Linked DNA regions of Cricetulus griseus. The main gene of each other region encodes a partner of the protein of the gene in region 7 in a complex. Links are inferred from orthologs where the notes say so. Each region holds a gene or a part of one and is shown on either strand. Other genes may lie near its edges. The genes, in order: Sf3b2, Sf3b4, Sf3b1, Sf3a1, Sf3a2, Htatsf1 and Ddx46.

Evidence for each region.
Region 1: Ddx46 (region 7) and Sf3b2 share a complex: the UniProt entries of both Homo sapiens proteins name them as parts of the 17S U2 SnRNP complex. The link is inferred for Cricetulus griseus from reciprocal best matches to the Homo sapiens genes DDX46 and SF3B2.
Region 2: Ddx46 (region 7) and Sf3b4 share a complex: the UniProt entries of both Homo sapiens proteins name them as parts of the 17S U2 SnRNP complex. The link is inferred for Cricetulus griseus from reciprocal best matches to the Homo sapiens genes DDX46 and SF3B4.
Region 3: Ddx46 (region 7) and Sf3b1 share a complex: the UniProt entries of both Homo sapiens proteins name them as parts of the 17S U2 SnRNP complex. The link is inferred for Cricetulus griseus from reciprocal best matches to the Homo sapiens genes DDX46 and SF3B1.
Region 4: Ddx46 (region 7) and Sf3a1 share a complex: the UniProt entries of both Homo sapiens proteins name them as parts of the 17S U2 SnRNP complex. The link is inferred for Cricetulus griseus from reciprocal best matches to the Homo sapiens genes DDX46 and SF3A1.
Region 5: Ddx46 (region 7) and Sf3a2 share a complex: the UniProt entries of both Homo sapiens proteins name them as parts of the 17S U2 SnRNP complex. The link is inferred for Cricetulus griseus from reciprocal best matches to the Homo sapiens genes DDX46 and SF3A2.
Region 6: Ddx46 (region 7) and Htatsf1 share a complex: the UniProt entries of both Homo sapiens proteins name them as parts of the 17S U2 SnRNP complex. The link is inferred for Cricetulus griseus from reciprocal best matches to the Homo sapiens genes DDX46 and HTATSF1.

What each region holds. Positions count from the first base shown.
Region 1 is NC_048596.1:54,019,700-54,023,886, reverse strand, and holds the start of Sf3b2 (splicing factor 3B subunit 2), read right to left. Parts: upstream 2,801-4,187; 5' UTR 2,767-2,800; coding exon 2,634-2,766; intron 2,463-2,633; coding exon 2,416-2,462; intron 1,973-2,415; coding exon 1,895-1,972; intron 665-1,894; coding exon 425-664; intron 1-424. UniProt on the Homo sapiens protein: Component of the 17S U2 SnRNP complex of the spliceosome, a large ribonucleoprotein complex that removes introns from transcribed pre-mRNAs.
Region 2 is NW_023276806.1:60,350,896-60,354,964, forward strand, and holds the start of Sf3b4 (splicing factor 3B subunit 4), read right to left. Parts: upstream 2,801-4,069; 5' UTR 2,677-2,800; coding exon 2,643-2,676; intron 2,258-2,642; coding exon 2,129-2,257; intron 1,882-2,128; coding exon 1,339-1,881; intron 1,092-1,338; coding exon 885-1,091; intron 1-884. UniProt on the Homo sapiens protein: Component of the 17S U2 SnRNP complex of the spliceosome, a large ribonucleoprotein complex that removes introns from transcribed pre-mRNAs.
Region 3 is NC_048595.1:409,450,288-409,453,787, forward strand, and holds part of Sf3b1 (splicing factor 3B subunit 1), read right to left. Parts: intron 2,938-3,500; coding exon 2,725-2,937; intron 2,542-2,724; coding exon 2,420-2,541; intron 274-2,419; coding exon 76-273; intron 1-75. UniProt on the Homo sapiens protein: Component of the 17S U2 SnRNP complex of the spliceosome, a large ribonucleoprotein complex that removes introns from transcribed pre-mRNAs.
Region 4 is NW_023276807.1:100,709,777-100,713,066, forward strand, and holds the end of Sf3a1 (splicing factor 3A subunit 1), read right to left. Parts: intron 2,963-3,290; coding exon 2,861-2,962; intron 2,759-2,860; coding exon 2,687-2,758; intron 2,057-2,686; coding exon 1,955-2,056; 3' UTR 501-1,954; downstream 1-500. UniProt on the Homo sapiens protein: Component of the 17S U2 SnRNP complex of the spliceosome, a large ribonucleoprotein complex that removes introns from transcribed pre-mRNAs.
Region 5 is NC_048598.1:101,580,085-101,584,350, reverse strand, and holds the start of Sf3a2 (splicing factor 3A subunit 2), read right to left. Parts: upstream 2,801-4,266; 5' UTR 2,653-2,800; intron 292-2,652; 5' UTR 256-291; coding exon 130-255; intron 18-129; coding exon 1-17. Other genes in the region: Plekhj1 (pleckstrin homology domain-containing family J member 1), read left to right, coding at 3,195-3,288, 3,372-3,439, 3,513-3,579. UniProt on the Homo sapiens protein: Component of the 17S U2 SnRNP complex of the spliceosome, a large ribonucleoprotein complex that removes introns from transcribed pre-mRNAs.
Region 6 is NC_048604.1:15,383,249-15,387,304, reverse strand, and holds the start of Htatsf1 (HIV Tat-specific factor 1), read left to right. Parts: upstream 1-1,256; 5' UTR 1,257-1,399; intron 1,400-1,626; 5' UTR 1,627-1,682; coding exon 1,683-1,871; intron 1,872-3,474; coding exon 3,475-3,655; intron 3,656-4,016; coding exon 4,017-4,056. UniProt on the Homo sapiens protein: Component of the 17S U2 SnRNP complex of the spliceosome, a large ribonucleoprotein complex that removes introns from transcribed pre-mRNAs.
Region 7 is NC_048596.1:274,635,438-274,638,937, reverse strand, and holds part of Ddx46 (probable ATP-dependent RNA helicase DDX46), read right to left. Parts: intron 2,119-3,500; coding exon 2,040-2,118; intron 444-2,039; coding exon 361-443; intron 1-360. UniProt on the Homo sapiens protein: Component of the 17S U2 SnRNP complex of the spliceosome, a large ribonucleoprotein complex that removes introns from transcribed pre-mRNAs.

The DNA.
Region 1 (4,187 bases), about 220 Mb from region 7:
CCTTTAATCCCAGCACTCGGGAGGCAGAGGCAGGCGGATCTCTGTGAGTTCGAGGCCAGCCTGGTCTCCGGAGCAAGTGACAATAGGCTCCAAAGCTACACAGAGAAACCCTGTCTCAAAAAAAAAAAAAAAAAAACATAAAAGTTAGGGAGAGAAATATTACCCTCTTCTGCTGCTCTAAGAGCTATGTTCCTTCAATGAATGATTTCCTTGCTTAAAAAAAAAAAAACTCATGCCAGCAACAATACAACCAGGCCAATCTGCCAAAATTCTTGCTTCTAGGATTCTCTGCCAGCTGTTACCTAGGTCTTGGTCTTCAACCAAGACCTTCCTAAAAGGCACAGCCTCCGGGTCTAGCTTTCTGGGGTTCCATTTCCCCATCAGGGACCTAAGGTGACCTAGGTAAGGTTTCCACCTGTCCTACCTGTTTGGCACGTTCCTCTTGCTGCATCAGCAAAGCTGCCTGCTGTTGTGCCAGCTTCAGCCGTTCCTCTTCTGATAATGCCACAGGCTCACCGACTCGGAGAGGAGGTGGGGGACCCAAATTTGGTGGGTGAGCCATAGGAAAGCCAAGGCCAAGGCCTGGTGGAGGTGGTGGAGGTGGAGGAGGAGGTTGTAGAGGGGGGAGTCCCATAGGTGGTGGCGGCATAGGAATCCCAGACAGCTGTGGAAAAAAATATATAGCTATGAACTAGAAAGCATTTATTCACTTTAGAAGCATTTTCTAGCTAAAGTTCTAAAGGGAACTAGCAAAAGAGCCAGGCATTCAAAGTCTAGTGATGCAGAACTCAAGAAAATGCACCATAGCAGAATCAAGAGAAGAAAAGGCTAACTTTAGAACACTGATCAAACAAAGCTATTGGGTCCTCTGAAATTGCATTCAATTTAAGAAAATACAAGAACACCTCTAAAGTCTATACAGGCACTTAACAAAACACAAACACACACACACACACACACACACACACACACACACACACACACACACACACACACACACACACACACACACACCCCACCCACCCAGGCCAAAGCCACTAGTTTAGAGGAAGACACTCAAATACTGGATTCCAAAGGAACTTAAACAAATAGGAACCAGTACTGGAGAGACTGGACCAGCAGTTAAGAACTGCTCTTGAATCACAGGGTTCAATTCCCAGCATCCAGATAACAGCTCACAATCCTCTGTAACTCCAGCCCCAGGGTGATCCAAGCCCCTTTATGGCCTCCTGTAATGCTGCATGCACATGGTGTACAGACATGCACGCAGGCAAAACACTCATATGCATAAATATGTGTATATATTCACATACACACATATATACACACACACATATACACACACACACAGATACTATTTTTGAGATACAATTTCTCTGTGTTCTGGCTGTCCTGGAACTCACTCAGTAGACCAAGGTGGCCTCAAACTCAGAGATTCACCTGCCTCTGCCTCCCAAGTGCTGGGATTAAAGGTGTTCACCACCACTAAACTTTAAATATGTTTTTTTAAAGAAATAGAAACCAATGTGCCAGGGCACAGACTGTCAATGAATTACTAAATGCAGGAGGTATATAATAAAAAAATCACAGCATTACCCCTTAAAGTGTCAATGAATAACTTTGGGAGCTATGCCTGATAACAAAACACATGACTACATCCAACTGGGAGAGAACCAAGTATGAATTCTAGGTATTCAAGTTGACTCTTGAATGACAGGTCAAATTTAGAAGAGCAGACATTGCGGACTGATGAATACCGGCACAAAGCCAGAAGTGAAAAGGCCCCAATTCTGTCTCATCAGACCCCACCCTTAATTCACTATATTCTTATCTCCAGTGCAATGCATGGGAGAAAGGTTATCCTGAACAGAATGACCGATAAACAGTCTCTTACCTGTGCTGACATAGGAGGAGGAGCAGCTTTGTCCCCATCTTCTCCCCTTAAAACAGGTCGATTCAGCACAATGCCCGTCTACAAAAGAAAAGAGAACTGTGTGTCAGACTAAGAGGGAACTATTCCATTGCACGGCCTCCTCCACCATTTATTTAACAAAGTGCACCCGATGCCCGTTTGCCAGAGATTGGGGCTGTAACCTTTACAATAAAGCAAAGGCAAAAACTGACAAAACGGTCAAGACCCGACTTGCCGCGATGAAGTACGTAAGAAACGAAGACCCAGCCGGGCGTGGAGGCGCACACCTTTAATCCCAGAGCACTCGGCAGGCAGAAGCAGCCTGATCTCTTGAGTTCCAGGCCACCCTGGTTTACTGAGAGAGAGTTCTAGGACAACCAGGTGTACACAGTAAAACCCCGCCTAAAAGCTTTTTAAAAAAATGTAAAAGAAACGAAGACCGATCCGTGGCCTATCTTAAAGGCCTCTAGGAAAAGTAATCTTCAACTCCTGCCACAACTCACCTGGCGGGTGTAGGTCTGCAGCCGCTCAACCAGCTCCTCGCGACTCCCTGCGGAACCAAGCACAGAATCCGGGGTCAGCACCAGCCGGAACAGCCCGGCTTGGCCAGGTCGGGCCCCAGAGGCCTGTCTCCGCCCCCCGCCCGTGAGTCTCCTGGGTAACCAGGTCCCACTGCCCCGCAAGCCCACGCAGCCCCCTTTGACCGCCCCGGGAGCCTCACCCTGGATCGGAGCTCCTATTTCCGCCAGTTTGGCCTGAAGCTCCTGAGCAGCCCAGGCGCCATAGTGGCCTGGAGGTGGCGGCGGCGGCAACTGCAATTCTCCTTTGGGAGGCTCTGGATGCTCCGCCGCCATCTTAGCCACAAGAAGGCGCGCGACCAACACGGAAGCTCGGATCAGCCACCGGGCCTACTTCCCGGAACTTCCGGCAGAGCACTCCGCCACGTCCCGCGGTGATTGGAAAGCACTTGATTCAGACACCCACTCACTGCCTTTCGCTGGGAGATAGGATTCGCCGCTAACAAAGGCTGCACGGCCTTCTGGGAGTTGTAGTCTACGGTTGCACCGCCTAGAGGCTGGACGCTTGTTTTAACATCCCGTACCCTGTGGTAGATCCGCCGCTAGGGCCCTGAGAAGACCCGGCCCTCCACCCATTGGTTCCTTTCTTCTTCTCCTCACCTGCCCAAACGCATACTAAGTCTTCTGACCCGACACTCTCGGTGATGAGGTACCTGGATGCTTATTCCACCCAGGAGCTCATAGAGACTGCTTTCCGGCGCCCGCCAAGTGGGAGGTTGGAGCCGATGCCTCTGATAAAACAGTGTCCGATTGTTTGCCTGCTCGCTCCCGGCCCAGGCGTGCTTGAATGGGCTGAAAGGGGATCGGAGCCCGTAGAGGAACGGACCCGCCGGGCTGAGTTCCAGCTGCTGACTTGGGGGAAGGGCGATACCAAAATCCCTTTTCCACATTCGAGAAAGGCTTAAGAAAATGCCTTCTCTGCCAAATGTTTCCTCTCCTTTCTAGGAGCTTTCATACCACACCCAACTTTCCACCTTTTGTTTTCAAAACGAAATGTGCACCACTTGCATGCCTGATGTCTGTGGAGGCCAGAAGAGTGTCTCCTGGAACTAGAGTTACAGACGGTTGCAGGTCCTCTGCAAAAGCAACAAGTGCTCTTAACGCCATCTCTCCAGTCCCAAGGTTTTCGTTGTTTAAGTAAGTGTATTACAAATGTGAGCCAATCTATTGCCCCTTTTTGTTTTTTTTGTTTTTTTTTCGAGGCAGGGTTTCTCTGTGCAACAGTCCTGTCTGTCCTGGAACTCGCTCTGTAGACCAGACTGACCTTGAACTCACTTGAGATCCGCCTGCCTCTGCCTTCCAAGAGCTGGGATCAAAGGCATGTGCCACCCGCGCCCAGCTGTCCTGTTTCATTTTTAAGTCTTTCGTACCCTTTATTCCTACCTCCATTCCCAAAACAGGAGCAAGAACTTGATCTTTTTCTATCATGAAGCATCTAGCATCCAGGAGCCACCTAATAAATGATTGTGTGGGGGGGATCTATCCCTGGGATTTTATCTTCTTATAGGAAGAAAACACTCAGACTCTTTTCTTGGGTGGAGACCCCATGACCCTTGCCTGCCAAGCATCCACCCATTCATTTTGTCTCCTCACTTCTCCCTTCTAGTTCTTCCTCCACTCTCGATGCAGCCTGTTTGTTCTTGTGTGTGATGAATAAGGGAGACGAACACAAATGGTCTCATTTCTCACCCACACAC
Region 2 (4,069 bases), on a different chromosome or scaffold from region 7:
TGAACTTAGCTGCTACAAACAAGGGCTGTAGAAGGAGATGCTGGAAGGAGAAAAGTGAACTGTGGGTTGAGCAGCAGCCTTGTCTAGCCTGTCAAGAACCATGGACTAGAGACAGAAGGAATCAGTACCTGCACATTTAACACTACAAATAAACACTGGAAGAAGAACAAAGCACAAAATCTACACAGACAAAAAAGGGGGCTGACCCAGGTTGCTGAGGTTGATAAGTCACATAGAGGAAACAGTTTAATACATGCATAGCTCGTCATGTGTATAGTAGTGGTTAAGAAGCAGAAACAGGCCAGGCGTTGGTGGTGCACGCCTTTAATCCCAGCACTCGGGAGGCAAAGGCAGGAGGATCTCTGTGAGCTCGAGGCCAGCCTGGTCTACAGAGCCAGTGCCAGGATAGGCTCCAAAACTACACAGAGAAACCCTGTCTCGAAAAACAAAAACAAAAAGCAGAAACGGCTGCCCAGTGGTAGTGCCACCTTTAAACCCAGCACTTGGGAGACAGAGGCAGGCAGATCTCTGAGTTCAGGGCCAGCCTGGTCTACAGAATGAGTTGCAGGACAGTCAGGATCCTACACAGAGAGACCTTATCCCTAAAACAAAACAACAACAAAAAAAAATAAGCAAAAATGTCGCCTAGATCTGGCAACTGAGCTCCTTCCTGGGAATCAGAGGAGAGGCTGAGAGTAAAAACAGTAAGAACAGGCTATTCTGCAGAAAAAGGAAAAACCAGAGACAAGACGGGAGGGAGCTGAAGTACACACAGAAGTATTTTCTGAAGGAAAGGGAGACTCTAGACTATTTCCACCCAAGACAAAGAGCAGTGACAGAATCACTCTCACAAGCTCATCTCCGTTTCCCAGCAGACCACTTACCTGGATGGGGCATCCCACCTGGTGGGAATGGGTGAGGATGTGAGTGTCCGTGACCAGGATGCCCAGCTCCTGGAGTTCCTGCTGCTGGGGGGCCATGTCCTCCAGCCCCAGGTGGCATAGGTGGTGGGGGCATGGCTGGGGGTATCCCAGGAGGGAGGGCTCCAGGTGGCGGCACTGGAGGTGGGAAGGAGCCAGGAGGAGGCATGCCTATACAAGAAACGAGAGTCTATCTTGTGAAGAAAGAAAGACTGTCTTACAGAGCTCTAGCTTCCTTCCAGCACACTAAACTCCAGTCTCCCAAAGAAACCCAACATCTGCATCCCTTCCACCAGCACTCCTCATCCCTTTCTCGCTGCCCGCTGAGTTAACAGCTTACTCCCTCAGGGTTTCTTCTGCCTTCTGACCCTCCCTCCCAAGGGCCTCTCACTGGTGTAGTTTGAACTAAAAGCTTTACCTGGTGGAGGAAGCCCAGAACCCAGGGATGAAACCACAGGATTGGGGGCAGAGGGTGGAGGGGGTGCATCTGCGAACAGCTGGTGAGGACGGTCAGCCTGGGACAGCGGGTTCTGGGCTGCCAGAAGTCGTTCAGCTGCTGAGCCATGGCGCTCGCCTTTAGAGTCCTTCTTGAAGGCGTAAGACACAGTGATGGGTCTGTTACACAGGTACTGCCCATTCATGGCCTCAATTGCTGCATCCGAAGCATCAAAGGAGGCAAAATTAATGAAGGCATAACCCTTAGAGTTGCCTGTGTCAGGGTCCCGCATAATCTTGGGGGTTTGTAAGATGACCCCAAAGGCGCTGAAAGTATCATAAAGCAGCTTCTCATCGATTTCTGGGTCCAGGTTCCCAATGAAAATGTTGGCCCCTACATCCAGGTTTTTGTTGTGAGCTGAAGCCTTGTTCACCCGTATGGGCTTCCCATAGAGTTTGATCATGTTCATAATTTTAATAGCATAGTCAGCATCTTCCTCACTCAAGAATTCAACGAAGCCATAGCCTGGGGAATTGAAGAAAAGACTACTCAGATGAAGAGATTCAAAACGACACACTAACTCACCAGCCTCCAAACAAAGAACAAGTTGGAAGAATCCCAACTTCAAACTAAAGCTAAGAGACTACTCCTGAAACAAACTGCCAACTGAAGCTTAGAGAAAGAAACCATTCCAAAATAGCTGTGACTAGTGTTGAGATGCTTCAGGGGCCGCTAACCCAAAGTAAAGTCATTTCTTGCCGTAAATACTCACCTTGGTGCTGGCCAGTGACTCTATCCTTTGGCATGTGGGTGTTGACCACCGGCCCTGCCTGGAGAAAGAGCTCCCACAGCAGTGGTTCGCTCACTTTCTCGTCTAGACCGCCCACGTACACCGTGGCATCTAAAGCAAGAAAGCAGAAGGTAAGGACGAGGTCACGAGTTAAAAGGAAAACAGAAATTTAAAAAAAAAGTAACTAAAACCCTGAGATCACCCTTTGCCTGCCTAGTATAAAAAAACCCGCTCAAGTCTAATGTGGCGTTCTTGCGGATTGTGTACTTCCCGGTGGAGTTTCAATGATGCGCTTGGTAGCAGCGGGAGTGCCTACGGGAACCGGATCCAGAGGCATCACCCTCACAGGCCTCGGCCTCAACCCGGCCCCCAGGCCCAGCCCCCAGACGCGGGCCTTCCCGGGGAAACCTAGTTTCCCACGCTGGCGCTAACGCTTCTAGCACTCATCTGCCCTCCACCTCCCTGGGCCCACCTTGGGCTCTTCTCCCCCAATTACCCTGATTCCGTTCGGAGATGGGCCCGGCAGCCATGGCGAAGAGGCTCCCGCCGTCTCTAAGCGGCAGCACCGCCCTCTGACCTGTTACGACTTCCACTTCCGGGCCAAGGCTCCCATTGGGCGGGGCGGGCGGCAGGGGAGGAGCCGGAAGTGGCCGCGGCCATCTTAGGCGTCTGACGCGTGTCTGGAAAGACGCTGTGGTGGAGCTCTCACGACGCCCGGCTGGCGCCGAGGCGCTCAGGCCCCTCTTGACGACGCGGCTCTCGCCTGTCAGGCAGTCCCGCTGCTCCCCAGCCCAAATTTAAGCCCTAATCTCAGCCTTGTATGTTCTGTGACGCAGAGAAGCGTGCTGGGGGGAGGGAGGGGCGGGCCGGCTGCCTCGGGACGCAGCCTGTTACCTCAGTGCAGACGGAAGTGTCTGAGCCCCACTATTCGTGGGGTCATCTGAGGCACGGTGCCGCGTGTGTTCACGGTCAGTCTCAGCCTCGGGAGCACTCGGCAGCACCGTGCATCCCTCCCCTCCCACAGAAGAGACACTCAGAGAGCCTTCCTCCCGGGCCAGGACAGCCAGGGCTACACAGAGAAACCCTGTCTCAAAAAAAAAAAAAAAAAAAAAAAAAGGGGTTGGTGCTTCTTTCTCCAAATTTCGTCGGAATAGCCCCTCCTGTTTTGGGTCCTTAACTTCTTTTTTATCTATTTGTTTTGTTTCTCGAGACAGGGTTTCCCTGTGGCTTTGGAGGCTGTCCTGGAACTCGCTCTTGTAGACCAGGCTGGCCTCGAACTGGGTCCTTAATTTCTGTATCAATAATCTGGGTGCTTTTCTCTCAGTGCATACCCTCCCCCAACCACTTTACCGAGATCTTCATTCAACACAAGAAACAATACCAGCAATGTGTAGAAATACTGTGCTTTAATGAAGTCCTTAAATAGAAATACCACTACAAAAATATACAGTGGGAGGACAGGGTGTCTCCCTTATTTCCCTCATTCCCACAGAAGACTAAGAAACTGGATTTCAAAGCAGTGTGAGGGGTTGAGAATGAAGTCTCTGGGGCATCTTGTTGGAACTGATGAAGTGTCTCTGATCTCACAGTTTTGACAGTTTGTCATCTAAACGGCATGGAATTGCCAGAGAAAAAAAGGAAACGTTCTGAAGTGGTTTTGTTTCTTATTCCAGAGAAACAAAAATAGCTGGAGGTTGGTAGCTCCATGTCTGCTACAGAAACTCACTCACGGAGTGAGCTCCTTTATGGGCTGGAATGTGAAAGCTTGAAACACTGAGGTCAGATACAAAGAAACATGAGCAGAACTCCCTCCACATTCCCTCTGCCCTGCCTTCGAGAATGCTAGCAGTCTCAACGGATCTGAGAGAGGATGGTATTTGGATCTCTCTTCTTGCAGTGATCCTCAGGAGATATTCTTGGTGT
Region 3 (3,500 bases), on a different chromosome or scaffold from region 7:
GTAAAGGTGGATCAAGACAGTGATTTGTAACTCCCAAACAAAGAATAATACTTTATTTCTGTTAGCATCACTTACCAATAGTTTATCAAAGTACTGAATGTCATCAGGTTTTAAAAATGGAAGATTCCCAGACGGCTGGTCATTGACACTTTTCATAGTTCTGTCTTCAGTTTGCATGTGGAAACCAGTCATGCCACCCAAAGGTGTGGGTGTTGCTGTCAGCTTTCGAGCTGGAGTTCGAATGGGAACATAACCAGCTGGAGGGGGAAGGACCTAAGAGAGTTATAACACACTTTAGCAGGACTGCTTTGGCTTTACACAATGAAAGACAACATAGTAGCATTTACACTTAAAGACATCTTTGTAATTTATTAGCTAGCAAGTTTATTTACCTGAAGAAAACATATGCCACAGTTCAAAGTTAATTAAAAGTTAAGAAGATATTTATGAGAAACACTTATCTCCTAATTTGTTAATTAAAATTTAAGTGGGAAAGAAATACATGGAGTACTTTAAAATTTCTAGTCACCTTCAACCATTAATATGCTTGAGATATCAATGTTATCAAGACAATATGTGAAATTAACAAAACTTGAAAATTATAAAACCTATGAGTCAGTGATTTCCCAAAAGGTACTTTTAGAGCAAACATCATTCATTTAAGTGGAAATAAACTTATATGGTTTATATAATAGATAAAAGTCATGCATGTTTTAGTAATAAAATGAAATATTCACATAAACCCCAAATACTATAAAAATGTATTTTAAAACTGAACTCTTACAAGACAAACTTAAATACAACAAAGTAAAACTAAAGTATTTGCCACAACCATCTGAAAGAAATGTCAAATTAAACCCATTGCAATACCCATAGAATATCTGGAAATATGAGTTTAAAACAATAGGATTTGGTTTTTTAAAGCAATGAGACAGACTCTTTTGCTAATTACACTTTCCTAGGTAAGACAATAAACTTAACACAGGTCTTCTCCAAATAGCCTTAATTACCATGTCTGGAAAATGTCAATGAGACTCACAATTAAATCATGTTAAATACATCTGATGCCACCTATACTTCATCACCCAACTAATTTTTTGCTTCTTGTTATTGCATGTGCAGTATGGACCTCTCACTAATCATTTTGAGTAAAGGAGAATTTATACACGGACTCTTACAGTATGTCAAATCCATTGGTGTCACTGTACATTGAAGACCTAAAGGTACATTTTAAGATTTTACTCATTAGGGTGCTGGAGAAATGGCTCAGCAGTTAAGAGCACTGGCTGCTCTGTGAGAGGTCCTAAATTCAATTTCCAGCAACCACATAGTGGCTCACTACCAGCTCTAGTGCCCTCTTCTGGCATAAAGTCATACATGCAGATAGAGCACTCACACATTAAAAAAGAAAATTCACCAGCATGTTATCTGAGTTCAGTCCTACAAAATCATGAACTGAATGAAACAAGCTACTCCATTCCACTGATTCAGAGGTTCTTAAAGCACTGTCTGTGGACCTCCAGAAGTCCTTGTGGTTCCTTACTTAAAAGTAATAAAAGCCAGGAGTGAGGCATACCACCTTTTAGACAGATCTCTGAATTTCAGGTCAGCCTGGCCTATATCTCAAGTTCAAAACTAGCCATGGTTATATAGTCAGTCTCAGGTACTAGAAAAAATGGTTTAGTGATTTAGAACATCTGCACCTCAAATCATGAGCACCAGAGTTCAGAAACCAGAACCCATGCTGGGCAACTCACAACCACCAATAGAGGAATTACGCTGGCTTCTGCAGACACCTGAACTCACATATAATTAAAAATAACTTTTTTTTAAAAGATTTTTTTTTTCAAATTGTGTGTATCTGTGTGCCTGAATTTAAGTTTGTACACTTGAGTACATACAGTGCCTGAGAAGGCCAACAGAAGGCACAGAATTCTCATGAGATTCACAGATGGTTGTGAGCCTCTTGATGTGGGTGCTGGGAACTGAACTATAGGCTTTTGTAAGAGCAGCACATGCTCCTAAGCATTGAGCCACTTCTCTAGCTCCCAAAATACTTGGGGGAGCGGCGATTAAGACAGAGTCTCTCTAAGACAGGGTCTCTTGGCTGTCCTGGAACTTGTTATGTGGACCAAAATGGCCTCAAACTCAGAGATCCACCTGTCTCTGGCTCCCATCACTTCAATTAAAAGCAGGCACCACCACAGCTAGGAAAATAATAAAAGCTGCATGCTACTCATTTCATGTCTATTACTTTTTCAACTGAAATGCATTTAGTAGTATCTTTAAAAAAAAAAAGAGGAATTAATTAGTAAATTTGGGCGAGGCCAAATTTGCTGGCATTTTTTTTTTTTAAGCCAAATGCTTAAAACTCATATCCTAAGTACCAACACATTCACCATATATTTATCACTAGTACCTTATATCCTTCTGGGAACATAGCATCTAATTCTTCATCAGAAAGTGGGCGATTTCGCTCATCAATTTCTCTCTCCCACCGCCAAGCCTGAAGCTGTTCAGGAGTCATGCTCATTATATGACCTACCAAAACAGCAAAATTTTACATGATCCACAGTGCAAGACTTTACTACTAAATATGCCCTAACCTGATTGTTTTTATATTAGAAATGCAAATCAAGGTATTTTTATGTTCTTACTCTTAATAATAGCACCCAGAAAAACCAGCAAAAAAATTAAAACAGTCACAAGAGAAAGAGTTTCTACCTGGAGTGGGGGTAGCCATGTTCATGGCTGGTGTGCCAATTGGTGTTTTTCCTGGAGTCAGAACAGGAGTGCTTCCACCCATCTGACTAGCTGGTGTTTCATCCCAACGGGACTTTCTTTTACTTGCTCCAGGAGTTGGTGTTTCACCAATGGAGTCTCCACCTCGATCTGTTCGAGGAGTCTCAGCCCATCCGCTCCCATGCCCAGGAGTATCTTCAAAGAAAAAGGACAGTAAGATCACACTATTAACCATTTTTAAAACACTGTTTCACCCACAGTCAATATTATTAAGTTCAAAAGGAAGATATTCCAAAAACAAGATATACTTAAAAGTTTTGTTTAGTGTCTTTGGGTTTCCTTTCCACTGACCACAGCAACTAATGAGAAACAAACCAAAAGAAAAAAACTTTGTTTTTCCATCCACATGATCACAGAGTGGAACTTAAGATACACACTGTGTATCTTAAGCCATGTTCCAGCTATTCTCACTATACATCAAACTCTAGATTTAGGCAAACTTCTGACACAGAACATAAATATAGGCTAGCAAGGAGCCAAAGGTGGTACAGAAAGAAGTGTTGTTTAAAAGATGCAGTTTCTGTTTGGGTCAGGTCACTGAAAAAAGATATAGAAATGAATTATAATCATAGTGTACAATGTACAACACTGTGAATGTTTAAAGTCACTAAATTCTGTCCTTAAATGATTAAAATTGGTATGCTAAAACACACACAGGAGGTTGAGGCAAGACAATCAATCACCAGTTGAGGGCTAGT
Region 4 (3,290 bases), on a different chromosome or scaffold from region 7:
AATTAGTGTCTAGCAGTGAGCTTGCTTTCAGGCCCCTAAATCAGAAAAGTCCACCAGAAAGCCAAATTTTGCACTAGTCCCTAGGCAAACTTCAGGTAACCATGTGAAAGGCAAATGTCACACAGGATGCAGAATGGCATTACATCAACACGATTGACTGTGAGAAGTGTGTGATGGAGCTGTTTCTGGCCCTGCCTCGGAGCTGCCTAAGCTTAGGTTGGAAGAGGAAAGGTGGAGAGCTAGGGTGAGGACTAGAATACTGCTTTGATCCTGAGAACATTTTCCTCATCACATCAACGGACTGCAAATGAAAAGGTACTGGGAACTCTTAGGGGATCTGAGCATGTGTAATCCTCCTAAAAAAACCAGCTTTGTTTACATAATCAACAAGCTCTCATCTCCCTTCCTCTGAATACTTACAGCAGCACCTAAGCCACTAATAGCAGAATTCCAAAAATAATAACCTACATCAGGACCTCACTCAGTGACCAAAAGGCAAATGTTTTGCACATATTCTTCATCTTTGAACCATGTGATTGTGGGAATGTGACTTGCCTCTGGTACCTCAAACAAGAAAAATCACATAAGGACTACCACACAAGTGCTTGAACAGGAAGCAGTGTCAGGTCTGACAACTTATGTCTTTAATCCCAGTATTTGAGAGGCAGTGGCAAGCTGATTTCTGTACATTCAAAGCCAACCTGGTCTATATAGCAAGTCCAGGCCAGCTGTCTCAAAATAAAACAAATAAAAAAAGAACAACAACAACAAAACCCTAACAACAAAACACGTTAGGTAGTAAACTAAATTTGAGGCCCTTAGATAAGCACATAGACTTGGCATAATTAATAACACACATCATAAACAATACCCTTTGATCACACTGAATGAAGCACCTAACCTAAAACCACTATGCCAATCAGTTCATGGGTGATTCTAGATTTGAAGAAAACTGCTATTGTGGTGGTCCTTGTTCTGTGGGATACTGCATGTTGGAGGGTCCCAATGTTTCACAAATATAAAATGTGTGTTTCTTGTAGAGGTGTGTCATGGCACATATGAGACCAGAAGACATTCATGGATGTCAGGCCTTGCCTTCCATCTAGCTTTAGAGACGGTCTAGTGTTCACGGGCCTGCTCCAGATGATTCTGGCTTAGTCTTCGATCTCCCAGTGCACAAGGGTTACAGCAGTTTGTGCTAGTGGCTTTTACAATGGATTCTTGCACCATAAGCACTTTATTCATCAAGCCACCTCCCCAGCCCATGATGATTTTCAGAAGAAAGACTAATGACGGCAGCAAAAATTTATATACAGAGACCATAACTACTGAGACCCCAAGAGCTCCACAGTACTAGGTGGTAGGCACACTTGGCCAAGAGTCAGATCTTAATAAACTGTTTCTATGAGGGTCCAAGAGGTGTTTTGTTTTTAATTTTTAAAAATATTTTTTAACACAGTATCTCCCACAGCCCAGGTGGGCCTCAAGCTGTACAGTTGAGGGTAACTCTGAACATCTAATTCTCCTGCCTAAACCTCCCAAGTCCCAGGATTACAAGCATGCATGTACCATGCTTGGCTTCAAGAGATTAGAAACCAAAGCATGATATAAAATGATGACAGTAACCATATTCTATCCGCCAAACATCACTCGGTATTATGAAACTATCCTGTAGGAAACACTGAGTTTTGAATTCCTAATGGGCTTCCTGAAGGATCTCAAATTCAGAACCTAACAAGAAATCATTCCACAGACTGGCTTAGAAAGCTCTGCTATTCTTACCCATGTCAGGTTAGATAATGGGCAACACCTCTCCTAAATGACAAGGTGAATTTCGAAACTGATTAAGAGGGAAACAAATACACGGGCTGTGCCTGAGGTCCCAGAAAAGCTCCTGGAAGTGGTGGTAAAAGAAGAGGTCCAATGCAGGAGCCCAACTGTAGGTATCTCTTCACTACTTCTTCCTGCCGCCTCTCTCCTTGAGGGCCAAGTGGATGACAGCACCACTGGCCATGTTGTAGTAAGCCAGGGAGTTGGAATCCTTGATGAAAATGCCCTGGAATACAAACAAACGTCTTAGGTATGGCACCTGTCTTTGACCACATCAATGCAGCCTCACACAACTGAGCTTAGCTGTTAATATTCTAGACTTCACCAATATGGATGCTAAAGGGAAGGTCAGGTCAGTGGATTATGGAACTTTGGCTTCTTCTAGAACACTTTTTCCTTCTAACTGATATTGACAAACATAAGGGACCTTTAGTCAACACCTGGTTCAATTTTCAACTCCCAAGATGCTACCCATGACCGACTCCAAGAAACAGCCAACTTCTCAGGTCATAGGACTTTTAGTGATTACCTAATTCAACACCCTCATTTTACAGAAGAGATGAGGCACCAGAAGACCTGGAAGACCCCCTTTGCAGAGAGGGCCAGGCTAAGATCACATCACTGGGCTGGTCCCCATCCAGCTCTAAAAGGTTTTTAGACCCTGCATTAGACTATGCTGTCAGAATCCTGCACTGTCAGGTTCACCTGCCCCAGTATCCCACCTGTATTATTTCTAGGATGGACTCAGATGGCCACATCCAGGTCTCTCTCTATCCTACTTTGTAACAGAAGATTGTTTCTGGGATGACAGAGGTGTTGGAACCTAATGGACAGGACTGGGGTTACCCTGGCTTACTTCATACTGTAGTTTCTGTTTCCCTGCAGGCATGCCTGTGGCTTCATGAATCTTCACTTTGATGACAGAGACCTGTGGGACCAAAGAAAGGTCATTCATTCCCTTGCTAAGACCAGCTGGAAAAAACAACCCATTGGCTAAGCACCTGTAACAATTGGGGGTGGCAACACATACCTGGTCTGTGAGTGGCAGAGTGAAGACCAGCCCTTGCCCATTCAGCTTCCATTCTGTCTTATCCTGCATGTTGGGTACCTGCACTTTGATGGACACTGGACCCTGCAAAATGGAGTGCACATTATGCTTGGAGAACTCCAAGCCAACCAGAAACTACGCTCTACTAATAGTGGGCCCATCCAAACAATGACTACTGTCCCTCTGGCCCATTTACTATTGATGCTACTTGTGACACACCATGTAAGGCTTTCTTTTTTCTTTTTTTAGTTTTTAGACAGGGTTTCATATGTAGCCCAGGCTGGTCTTAATCGTTCTGCCTCTAGAGTGCTGAGATTTTAAGTATATATTACTATGCTCAGTTTCCTTTCCCCCTTTCCCTTCCTTAAATATACCTGTCTTGCTTTACAGTTAATATGGAACTAAGGTGAAA
Region 5 (4,266 bases), on a different chromosome or scaffold from region 7:
TTCATGAAATATGGGTCCTTGGAGGGAACATATGTACCCATTAGATCGCAGAGCCTGGCCCCATGAACCTGGGTCTGTAGGTGTGGGGACACTGCTCCCTCCACACCCCTACTGTAGGTACCCCCCCACCTTGTTGATGTCAATGGTTTCTAAGGCCAGCTGTCGCAGGCGTTCCCTGCGGTCCCGGTTGCTCTCAGAGGAGGAGGCCACGCCCCCACTCCCAGTCTTGCCTCCAGGTCTGTGCTGGAAGTCCATGGTGAAGGCCTGGAAGCTTCAGGGACACACAGAAACCTGGAGGAACAAAAGGGCAACAGATTCAGAACAGCACACATTCATGCAGCAAGCAGGCCTTCCCTTGCCTTCTATGTTCCAGATTGGATTCCACCTTACCCTTAGAGTGAATGTGGATTGGTGGAGAAGCAACCAGCCCAAGACCCTAGGCTAGTGTCATTTTTTTCAAGTCTCACGTAACCAAAGCTAGCTGTAAACTCACTGTGTAGCTCAGGCTAGTTTAACTCCTGGTCCCCGTAAGCACTGAAATTACAGGGGTGTGCCATTATATCTGTCTTTGGTTATGAGGTAGGTGGGGGACAGGCAGAGTCTCATGTAGCCTGGGTTGTCCTTTAAACTCCTGATCCTCCCAAGTGACTGCAGGTATGAGCCACCTTTGCCTGCTGTGTCATATTAAGATGGGGGGGGGGGTCTCTTTAAGTAGACCTGGCTGTCCTCAGAGATCCATCAAGTGTTGGGATTAAAAGACCTCACACACCCATCTGACACACAAGGATTATGTTTTTTCCTAGTCTTCCAAGTCCTGAATGTTGTCCACTAGGAAGAACACTTTAGACTGCTCATTGTCTGCCCCAGGGCCTTGGTTTAAACCCAGAGGTAAACTCAGGGACATGTCCAGGAGACAAGTGGAGGGCAGTCCTTGTCATCATTGTTGGAGCCTCATACAGCAAAAGGAATTTTGAAAATGATATCAAAAACTCCGAGGGCCAGGTAGTGTCACCATGGAGTCAGAAGGACTCAGGGCAGAGACACAGTGAGGTCGCTGGCTGTTGACTCTGGAGGAGGAAGGGGCAAAAGCCAAGGGACACATGGGCCTTAAGACGCTGGGATGGCTGAGAGCATTCATGTGTACTGAAGCTGTCTGTGGGCAGGACCAGCCTGTCTGGTCTGTTTCATGCTCAGCCACACAGGACTGAAAAAGAAAAGCACTGCCTATACCTTCGAAAGCTACCAGGAGACACAGACCCACAGATGAAGTTGGCCAGATGCAAGAGCAGAGTCCAAGGCTGGCCGCAGGCTTCCCAGAACAAGAGGGTACCTGGAGCAGTGACAGCATGAAAACCTACTCTGACTTCTGGTGTCCAGCCAGCCACAGGCTTGAGGGTACAACTCAAGGCCCCTAGAGTCTTGCTTTCACGTGTAGGGGTGTGGGCACCCACTAAATGAAAAATGCAATTCATCTGTTTTGGAGAGGCTAAAAAAAAAAAAAAAACAAGAAAACCCAGGACAAAACTAGCTTGGGTGAGCATGCGCCTTGGTTCTGGGGTAGGAGCAGAGTCTTGCAAAATCTCACCACTGAGCTACCTTTCCCAGCCTGTGACATTTTCAACCTCGGGAAACACTAGCAATTGTGGTGGGCATGGTGGCAAACACCTTTCACATCAGCTCTTGTCTTGGGAGGCCAAGGTAGGAAGACACCCGAGTTGGAGGCCAGCCTGGGCTGCACAGTAAAATCTTGTCTTAAAAGCATTTGGTGTCCTTCCAGAGGATCCAAGTTCAGTTTCTAGCACTCAAACTGGGCAACTGACAACCACCCGAAACTCAAGCTCCAGTGGATCTGGACTCATTCACATGCACAGACACACATACACACGAAGAAAAGATAGTCCCGGAAAAAGAAACACGGGGAAAGCAATGCGAACACCAGCACTTATCTTTCTGCTTCCTGACTACAGCTGCCTCAAGCTCCTGGGACAAAACTTCCCCACCAAACTGAATTGCACTCCTACTGTCAGCGGTAATAAACCCTTCCAAATTAAACAGCCAGGTGCGGCGGCATATGCTGTTAATCCCAGTCGTCCGGAGGCAGAGGCACCGCGATGTGTGTGAGGTAAGAGTTCCTGGTCGGCCAGAATTGGGCAGGGAGACACTGTCTGAAATAGAAGTTCTGCCAACGCCTGGATGCGCTCACAAGTGAGGCGTGGGGCAGGAGGGAGAACGGATGGATGGAGACGAGCTACCTCACGGACCACCATAAGATCACCGACAAACGAGACAGGGAAACGAAGTGCTGTCTGAGAAGGAGACGGCCTGGGATGGAAATACCGTTATCTTCCAGTCCCAGCAAAGGACCGGCTCGGGTGGGCGGCAGCAGCAGTCGCCAGGGCCCTGACTAACGACGAGGAAAGCTGAGGCAATCAAGGAGCTCAAAAGACCCTCAGGAACCGGGGCACGCTGGGGGCCGCAGACGCGCCACGGAAGCCCGCGATGCCGCCGCGGCCACTGGGCCGCGCGAGCGCCGCCGCGCCGCCCGCCGGCCGGCCCTTCCGTCCAGCCCCGCGCCCTCGCTGCTGCTTCCGACCCCCTTCCGAGACACCAAAGCCGGGGTAGCTTCCACCAACAAGCCGAGTAACACCTCACCGGCGCCAAAGGCCGCGCAGCCCAGGCGTAACGTCCGCGAGGCCCACGATTTCGCTGTGCGCACGCGCAGGCCGGACTAAGCAGTCACTTCCGGGGGAAAATAAGGCGGAGTTTCGGTTGTGCGCATGCCCAGAAGATGGACTCGGTTTAAAGAGGCGCGAGTGAAAGGAGCGCCGGAGTCCGAAGTGCGCACGCGCACTGAGTTATTCACGAACTCTCGCTGAGTATCGCGACAGGACGAAATCGTTATGTCTCAGCAGCCTCGGAACGCGCTTCGCTTGACAGGGGGTGCTACGGATCTAGCTTGATACCTCACGTTTAGTGTGTTTGACAGTTACCTAGGACGGGCGACTTCCTTCCTTTCTGACTCTGCGAGCAACTGCGCCCGCAGACACGCTAGCGCCCCGGCGCGCAGGCGCAGTAGCTCTGCTGGGACTTCCGGGAATGTTCCCTGAGACTTTTGTGGTGCTGAGCGCACCTTCCGAGCGGACGGCGGCCGAGAGGCAGGGCGCCCTCCGGTTCGCGCGGGTCCCCACGGCGTGATGCGGTACAACGAGAAGGAGTTGCAGGCGCTGTCCCGTCAGCCGGCGGAGATGGCGGCCGAGCTGGGCATGCGGGGCCCCAAGAAGGGCAGCGGTGAGCGAGCCGGGGCCGCGGCTGGGCACCTCCCCGGGGGGCGGAGGAGGACAGTTCCCGCTGACACCGCCCCGTGTCCGCAGTGGCCAAGAGGCGGCTGGTGAAGCTGGTCGTCAACTTCCTCTTCTACTTCCGCCCGGACGAGGCCGAGGTAGGGGCGTGGGGGGCTCGGGGGGCCCGCGCGGCCCGGAGCCGGCCGGCGCTCATGGCCGTGTCTCGCGCAGCCCCTCGGAGCCCTGTTGCTGGAGCGCTGCAGAGTGGCCCAGGAAGAGCCCGGCGGCTTCTCCATCAGTAAGTGCGCCGGTCCCCACAGTCCCCACTCCGGACTCTGCTCCGCACACCCCTCCCCACCCCCGCCCCAACCTCCGTTTGTCCTGGATCCCGAGTTTCCGGGGCCCAGCGCTGCATCAGCTGTCAAATTGCCCCCGGGTCTGGTCCCCGCTGGTGCGACCATAGTTTCTTCCCCGCCTTCAGTACCTGTTCACGGCAGGGATATGAGCAGCCTGCGCAGACTTTGTTGGTGTGGCATAAACAGTTCCTCCCGCCGGCAGGGCTTCTGAGGTTTTGAAGTGACATCTGATTCAGCCTTCTTCCTTGGTGATCTTTACAGTACCGTCCTGTAGACATTTGGCCCTCATGTCTTCCTCCATCATCACGGGGTTCTCCATCACTACCCTTAATTTCTGCTTCTTGCACGTGTATATTGAGGCCAGATGTCAATTTCTGATGTCTTCACCTCTCCCTTAAAACAATACATCAATATGTACACATACGTGTATTTGTGTGTGATCGAGCATGCCCCTAAGATCAGAGGACAACTTTGGGTAGTTGGTTCTCACCTTCCACTGTGTGGGTTCCCAGCATTGAACTCTGGTCATCACGCTTGGCAGCAAGCCCTGAGATCCAACTGTCTGTTTCCTCAGCACTGAAATGACAGCCACCTGCTGTGACATAGGAGCTGGGGCTTCTCCCCGGTCC
Region 6 (4,056 bases), on a different chromosome or scaffold from region 7:
CACAGGTCTGTGAGGAGCCAGGGTGCTCTAGAACCCACCCAACCATTGCATTTACAAGCAAAGGTGACTGGAATTGAAGTAACCTCTGGGTAATAATATGGATGTTTACACAGAGTTCATTGCTACTTTTAATGAATTAAAATTTTACTTGCATAGTTAAGATTACAGCAACAAATATTGTTGATAACCGCAATCCACATTTAAAACAAACACTTTGGAATTTTCTAGGTTTTTGAGTATAAAAGGATGCTGAAAACAAAATGATGTCTGCTCTCCAGCTTCTGGTACTTCTATTTTATTGTTCGCCAAATCATAAGTGAGTCTCCCTTATCTGTGCCTGTCTTCCCGACTGCTGTCCCAGAACCTCCCCCAGTGCCTGGCACTTAATAGGAGTGCAGTATAAACCTGCCTGTTTTAAAACATGGACCCCTTGTCGTGTAGAGAGACATGAAGTATTTTGGGGAAAAGTTCTGCTTATGGCAGTTAGTTGGTTGCCTTTCTAAGAGACAAGAAACCGAGCCACATGGTCCAGCTGGCATTTGTACACGGGGATGTTTACAGTCAAGCGTCAAGTTCCAGGCCTCAGCACCTCTGGTACCTTGCAGTATGATGCAGGCAACTGCTACCCTCAGCAACTGCAACCTGAAGGGAAGGTGCTACCAGATGCATAAAAAGGGGGTGAGCTTAGGAGGTGATGGGACCTTCTGCCCATGTTCAGTCACTTATTCACTCACTCTTCGCTAGATCCCAAACAGCATGTTACTGGTTTGGGTTACTGAGATGAGCAAAAGCCGTGTGTCGTGTAGTGTAGGACAAGAAATTCAAAACGATATACTTGGTTCCTTCGCAGGGGCGGGATCTGGCGTGAAAAGAGGCGCATGGCTTTCGCGAAGCGGGAGAAACTTGTCCCCACGGTCCCACCCACCTCCCCAAGATGGCGGTTGCCGCAAAGCCCAGCCCGCGCCAGCACTGCTGTCAGAATGAGGCTGTCGCCTCGTCCAAAGTGCAGAGGACGCCGCCGGGCCCAAGGCCCCTGCGGTGTCATGGATTCCTGCAGGCTTGCGTCCCCATCGGGTGCACGGACACTCCGGCGGCAGCCTTCCCTGGCAGCCCCGCCCCGCCCCCCCGCCCCCCCCCCCCGCCCCCGCCCCGCCCCCGCCCCGCGTCGCGGCCATTTGACGCAAGAGTGGGCGTGTCAGCGCGACCCGCTACGTCGCCACGCGCGGTCAATGGCGACCGCATCGGCCTGAGGCGGACTCCGTTCTCAAGCGACTTTCCTGTTGAGGCGGGAGGGAGCTGTGGTGCCTCCGGAGCCGACGGTGGCGGTGACGGCGCGCCTGCGCGCTTCCGCTTCGCCCTGGCCCGAGCGGGGGCGTCCAGGCCCCGCCGAGCCCGCCAGGTAGGTGGGGTGGCGGCCACTGCGCCGCCGGCGGCCTCGGAACGCCAGTGCGCGCGCGCGCGCGCGCCTGTGGGCCGGCCGGGAGGGCGGAGCCTGGGCGGCGCGGCGCGGCGCGGCGCGGCTCAGCCTTCCCAGGGACTGCTGGGGCGTTGCGGGGAGGCGGGCCAAGGGGGCTGCACCGCACACGACCTGAGCTCTGCCGACCTCCGGCTCTCTCACTTCTCCAGCGCCCTGTCGGCCTCTTCACGTCTCTGAACGCTGCTCCCGGCCCCGCTTCAGAAACATGAGTGGCAACAACTTGAGCGCGAACGACGAGTTTGACGAACAGTTGCGAATGCAAGAATTGTACGGGGACCCTAAGGACGGTGACACCCCGAACGATGCCTCCGGAGAAACGGAATCTGCGGGGGGACAACCGCAGGATGACACTCCCTACGAGTGGGACCTTGACAAGAAGGCTTGGTTCCCCAAGGTAAGAAAAGGGTGGCTGGACTGCCGCTGCGGAGCGTGGCTGTGGGCTCCCCTGGACACCCTTGCCGGACACCCCCTCTTACGTTTGCTCTTCTCAAGTACTAGGTCCTTGAACCGCTGCTTGATGGCTCGTCTGTTCCGTCCGTTCCAGTATCCGATGTATAAAGGAAAGAAAACCTTATGGTGGTGCCTGAAATGTTCTTTATGCCTTATTAATTTTTGTGAAGGTCACAGGCGTTATATTGATGACTGCTTTTTATTGCCAAAAGGAAAAACACCAAGGAAAACACATTTGTAACCGTTTTATCCTGTATAGCCAAACCTGTGAGATGTCTAGTGTCCATGCTGTGGATAAAATGCAGCTTGTTGATTTAGGGGGCGGGAAAGAAGGCTTTTACCCCACTCTATTGAATAAACTTTCCTTGCGTCTTGGTTTATTTTTCTACTGAATTTTGTTCCAGGGCATCTAAGTTTGACTCTTGTAACCACAGGAATATGACTGGGAAAGCACAGAAAATGGTTGGAAAAGGTCTCTACATTCGTTTTGAGTACTTGGAAATTGCTGTGTGTTTAATTTCAACGTGGAAATAACTAGTGTAAGCTGTATGGAGAAAGTACGCTGTTAGTCTTAGCCTAGGAGGGGCATTAGTATTAAAGGTTACGAACAGCCCGTCAAGTGACTTGGGAGCCAATCACAAAAAAACTTGTCTCCATTGTGTAGACCGAGTGTTAGTTTAAAAAGTATTTCAGCTATTCTTTCTTATTTTATATTTGTCCATATCTCAAGCTCCCCAAATTGTTGAAATTTGCTATCCCGTTTCTGGACTTGTAATGCCACCTTGAATGTAGATGTGATTTCTTCTACCTTCTGAGCCCTTTTAATAGTCCGACGGCAATTACTTGGTAACTTTATCTTTTACGTTACTTAAAACCCTGGTTCTTCAAACTTTGGGGGTAAAATTTTCACTTTTCTGTGTACCTGAAAGTGATAGTCATAACTCATAACTCATTCAGCCATTCAGCCATTCTACAATAGTGGGTTCCCCTGCAAAGCCAGGGCGATGGGTGTGTATCAGGCTTGCCTTTGATTTTGTTCTGTCACTAAGCGTTTCTCTGAATTAGTGCTCAAACTCAAATGGGCATTTTGTGTTCTAGCAGTTTCCAGCTTCATACATAAACATAAAAATCTTAGTGTACATACGTATTTTTGTGCATCCAAAAGTGGATTCTGTGATTAGATTTCTAGTTGACTTTTGGTTTTACTCTGTATCATTATTTGATACTTCTTTTGTTCTCTGTATCGGCCACCTTAGTCAGATATACTGTGGAGAAGCAAGAATTTATAAGACAACTAGAAAAGGTGCTAGCATCACTTAAAATTCTCTCATACTTTTTTGTTGGTAGTTTGAGCACTTTTTCATAGTTTCGTACTTTTTTCGTGTTACAGTTTCTATATAAGATGACTGCTCTCCTATTATATTTTAATTATTACAACTACCCTTGGCATAAACACTTGTTAAAGTCTTAGATTATATTACTGAATGTACAGTTGTATAACACATGAAGTAACCATGTCTGCATATGTGCTGACTTAACCCATCTAGATCACTGAAGATTTCATTGCTACGTATCAGGCTAATTACGGCTTTTCTAGTGATGGTGCATCTAGTTCTACTGTGAATGTCCAGGACCCCAACCCAAAGACAGTAGAAGAACCTCCACAAAGAGAAACCCCAGAAACCACTGACTCCAAAAAGAGGGGAGAAAAGAGAAAGGCCGAATCAGGCAAGTGGTTCTGTTTTGCAAAACCTGGGTGTAAAAAAGAAATAGGAAAATGTGTAAATACATTTTACATTTTGGAGGATTATACTAGCATTGAAGGAACATAATGTAAGTTTTCACTTTTATGTAGGCGTAAAGTCATTAAGAATTGAGATAGCCTTTTTCTTTTTCAGAGAGAGCCCTAAAACATTCTCAATCAAGAAGTTTATGTATTTTTGAAAGCTGGGTAATGATTTGAGTTAGACTTAGTTTTCTTAAATAAAGAGAACATTCTAAAAGTTTTTAAGAAGCTGCCACTACCAGGATTTCATAATGTGATTCTTGTTATTTGCAAGTGTTTTATTTATTTCATTTTGATTTTTAGGATGGTTCCATGTTGAAGAAGATAGAAATACAAATGTATA
Region 7 (3,500 bases):
ATGTCAGTATTTATTTCATTTCCCTATGTTGCCAACACACTATAATACCAGGCAATACAAAATGAGTGTGAATTTCAAGACCACAAACATTTCATTCTCACTACAGTTACAAAATCCCCTTTATATTTCAAAAATTTAAGAACCTCAATGAGGGACTGGAGAGATGGCTCTTAGAGCAAACCCAAGTTCCAGGCAGCCACCCAGCACACACATGGAACAGCTCTCATTCACCTGTGATTCCAGCTCCAGGATGATATGATACTTCCAGCCTCTGCAGGCACCTGCATTCATGTGCACACACCACACACACAATTAAAAGTAAAATAAACCTTTAAAATTACAAAGAAATTTAATTATTACCTGTGGTTCAAAACCCATGTCAAACATTCTGTCTGCTTCATCTAAAACAACATACGTCACTCTTCGAAGATTTGTGACCCGACCTAAGGTAAGAAAAAAGAAAAACAAAACGAAAACTAACTACCAGTCACAATTCATTATGACAATCAAGAACTTTAAAAAACCATAAAGGGAACTAAAATGCCTGACTTAAGCAGAGGGGTAGGTTAGGTTTCTTACAACAGTGAAAAGAAACTTTGGTCTAAAAGTCTTAATCTAGTGGCAAGTTCTTTCTGACAGTGGGTACATGAGGCCCTTTATTTGGTCAAACTCGTCTCTTGCATACCATCATAGGGCCTGAAGAACCTGTAAAATTCAGAAAACAGCCCTCTCCAAAACACATCATAAAACTAAGACTGAGATGAAGCATCGAGCCACATCAGCCATTATCTGACAGCATCACCTAGAAAAAAACATATTAGAGATTACAGCGTATGTGTGGAAAGCAGGTTCCAGTGCTAACTACTTAGAGGCATAAAACCTCATTACTTTACAGCCTACTGCCATACGATTAGAAGCGCCTTAAGTGGGCATGCTAAAACATTAATAAACCGCTCAAAATCACTGGGTAACAATATCTTACACACTTTAAAAAATAAATGCATTACATACAAATATACTTTTCTATGCAAAGATACACATTAAATTATTAGTTGGGGCCACTGGTTTAATTAAGTAATCCTGGCTTCTTACCCAGCAAAAAACTAAAAATGCAGAAAGCCCTCTCAAAGACCAGTAAGTATTGCTATTACTTTGCAGAACCAACCACCTGGCAAAAATAGTCATTAAAAGACAAACGAAAAAGACAAATAAAGGAAAAGGTAAAATTAATCAAGATGAACTTCAGGAGATTTAATTAATACAACAGTGAGAAAAAGCAAGGGATTATACAGTCAGCATTCATCCCCAAAGCTTCATCTGCTACACAAGCGCAAGACCTCAACCCTCATGGAGAATTAAGTTTACCCCAAGCTCAGGCGGAACACTAGTAAGAACATGCACTTCTCGGATTCCAACACTCAATTACATACAGACTGAACGTTTCAATGGAAACCTCGAAAAAGCTGTTTCTTCAAAGACTAAACAGGTAGTGTTCACACTAACATCTCCAGTTGACAAGAGTCTCTCTCGAAAGGTTGGAAACAGCATTAAGTCACCTACCTTGGTCGGTTACCATCTCGGAAGCCCAGGTCTATAAATCCTCAAGGGCCTTTCTCCACAGAGGTTAAACAATGTCAACAGTTTAGTATCATTTTTGACAGGGAATATTTTAACAAAGCACAACATTTCGGCTAACAACATGCAGTATTTACAAAAGACACATTTCTTGAAGCTGCAATAACTTAATGTATCTACTAGTATAAAATACTAGCTCCCGTGGAGAATTTTATAATAAAAAGACTATAATGAAAAGTCAAGTTAAATGCTAGTAAGGTCTTACGGAGTTAGTTGTGAAAAGAAATTGAACTGCCAAAAACTTGTTAATACTTTCAACAATAAATGTGTTACCATTCACATTTTAAGATATTACAGCTTTAAGAAGAAACATAGAAACCCTTTGTTGGTTTCTCATATCTGCTTTAACAAAAAAGTGTCAAGCTCAAAAAGGAAAAGAAAACAAAAAAATACCTGTGACTTACCACTGTTAGCCGCTAACATGTCAATCATTCGACCAGGTGTGCAAACAATAATCTCAGCACCTCTTTTCAGCTCAGCGATCTAATGAAACAGGATAAGATTTTACAGGAGAGTCATCACTGCTTATGAGCAGATGTGAGCATCTGGCCATCCATGGTTCTACCAGGTAAGACAGAGTCTGAGTAGAAGACTGCAGGCTGGCACGTGACCCTTGGGCTGCTAGAGTTCTGAGGACGGGAAGCAGCAGGCAACACCCAGGCCAGACCTTAGAAACTAGTAAAACTAATGAATTTCACATATTTTAATTTGCAACTATTGCTAAAAGACCAAGACAGGAAGGTCAGAATAAGCAATAAAATATATACTCTTATTTAGGAACCCATGACATCGGTCTTCTAGGCCAAGGCCAGCAGATTTACAAATTGAACAGACAATGAAAGCACGCGCGCACACACACACACACACACACACACACACACACACGCGCGCGCGCGCGCGCGCGCTCATTCTCGTTCCTTTTGGCCTTTATATCATTTCATATATATGGGTGTTTGGCCTGCATGTGTGTCCATACATCACACACATACAATACCTGCAGAGGCCATTAGGGGGCACTGGCTCTTCAAGGAAATGGAGTTACAGTCATTGTGAGTTGGTTGCCCTGTGGGCACTGGGAATCAAATCCAAGACCTCCAGAGACAGTGCTCTTCACCACTGAACCATCTCTCCAGCCAAAGCAACTGCAAATTCTGGAATGTTGGCCTATATAGTTACAGGTACCAGCAAGAGTGAACTTTTCTGTGGCAAATATTCCACAAGACATACTGTTTCCCATATAAGTTTTAAGTATTTAACAAAATATAGGACTAGTGGTGTGTGCTGTGGTAAAAGTGCCTGCTGCCAGTTTGACAACTTAAGTTCAACACCCAGAGACAACTGACTCCTACACACCATCTTCTGACCGTATCACACGTGCTGTGGCATGTGCACATGGGCAACCACACAGAAGCAAGCTCAAACACATCAAAACACACACACACACACACACTAATTATAAACTAAAAATATATATATATATATAATAATAGTTTCTTTGCAGTAGAACGGAAGTCACACATAAACTTCTGATAATGCTTTAACTTTCTTTCTGTTTCTTCTATGAAAGAGCTGAAATGCTTCTCTAGACTCAAAGCTATGGTAACCCTGGTAACATCATCTTCACACACCCGTCTGGTGGGACTTAAAGTATCTGTGGCAAAAGCACACCCTACTCTCACTGCAAAGGCAGTGAGATTTTTTATAAGATTTTTTATTTTTGTTAGTGTTGCTTTCAAAATTTTATTTTTTGGGTTTTGGTTTTGTTTTTTTTGGGTTTTTTTTTTTTTTTTGGTTTTTCAAGATAGGGTTTCTCTGTGTAGTCCCAGCTGTTCTGGAACTCACTCTGCAGACCAGGCTGGCCTCAA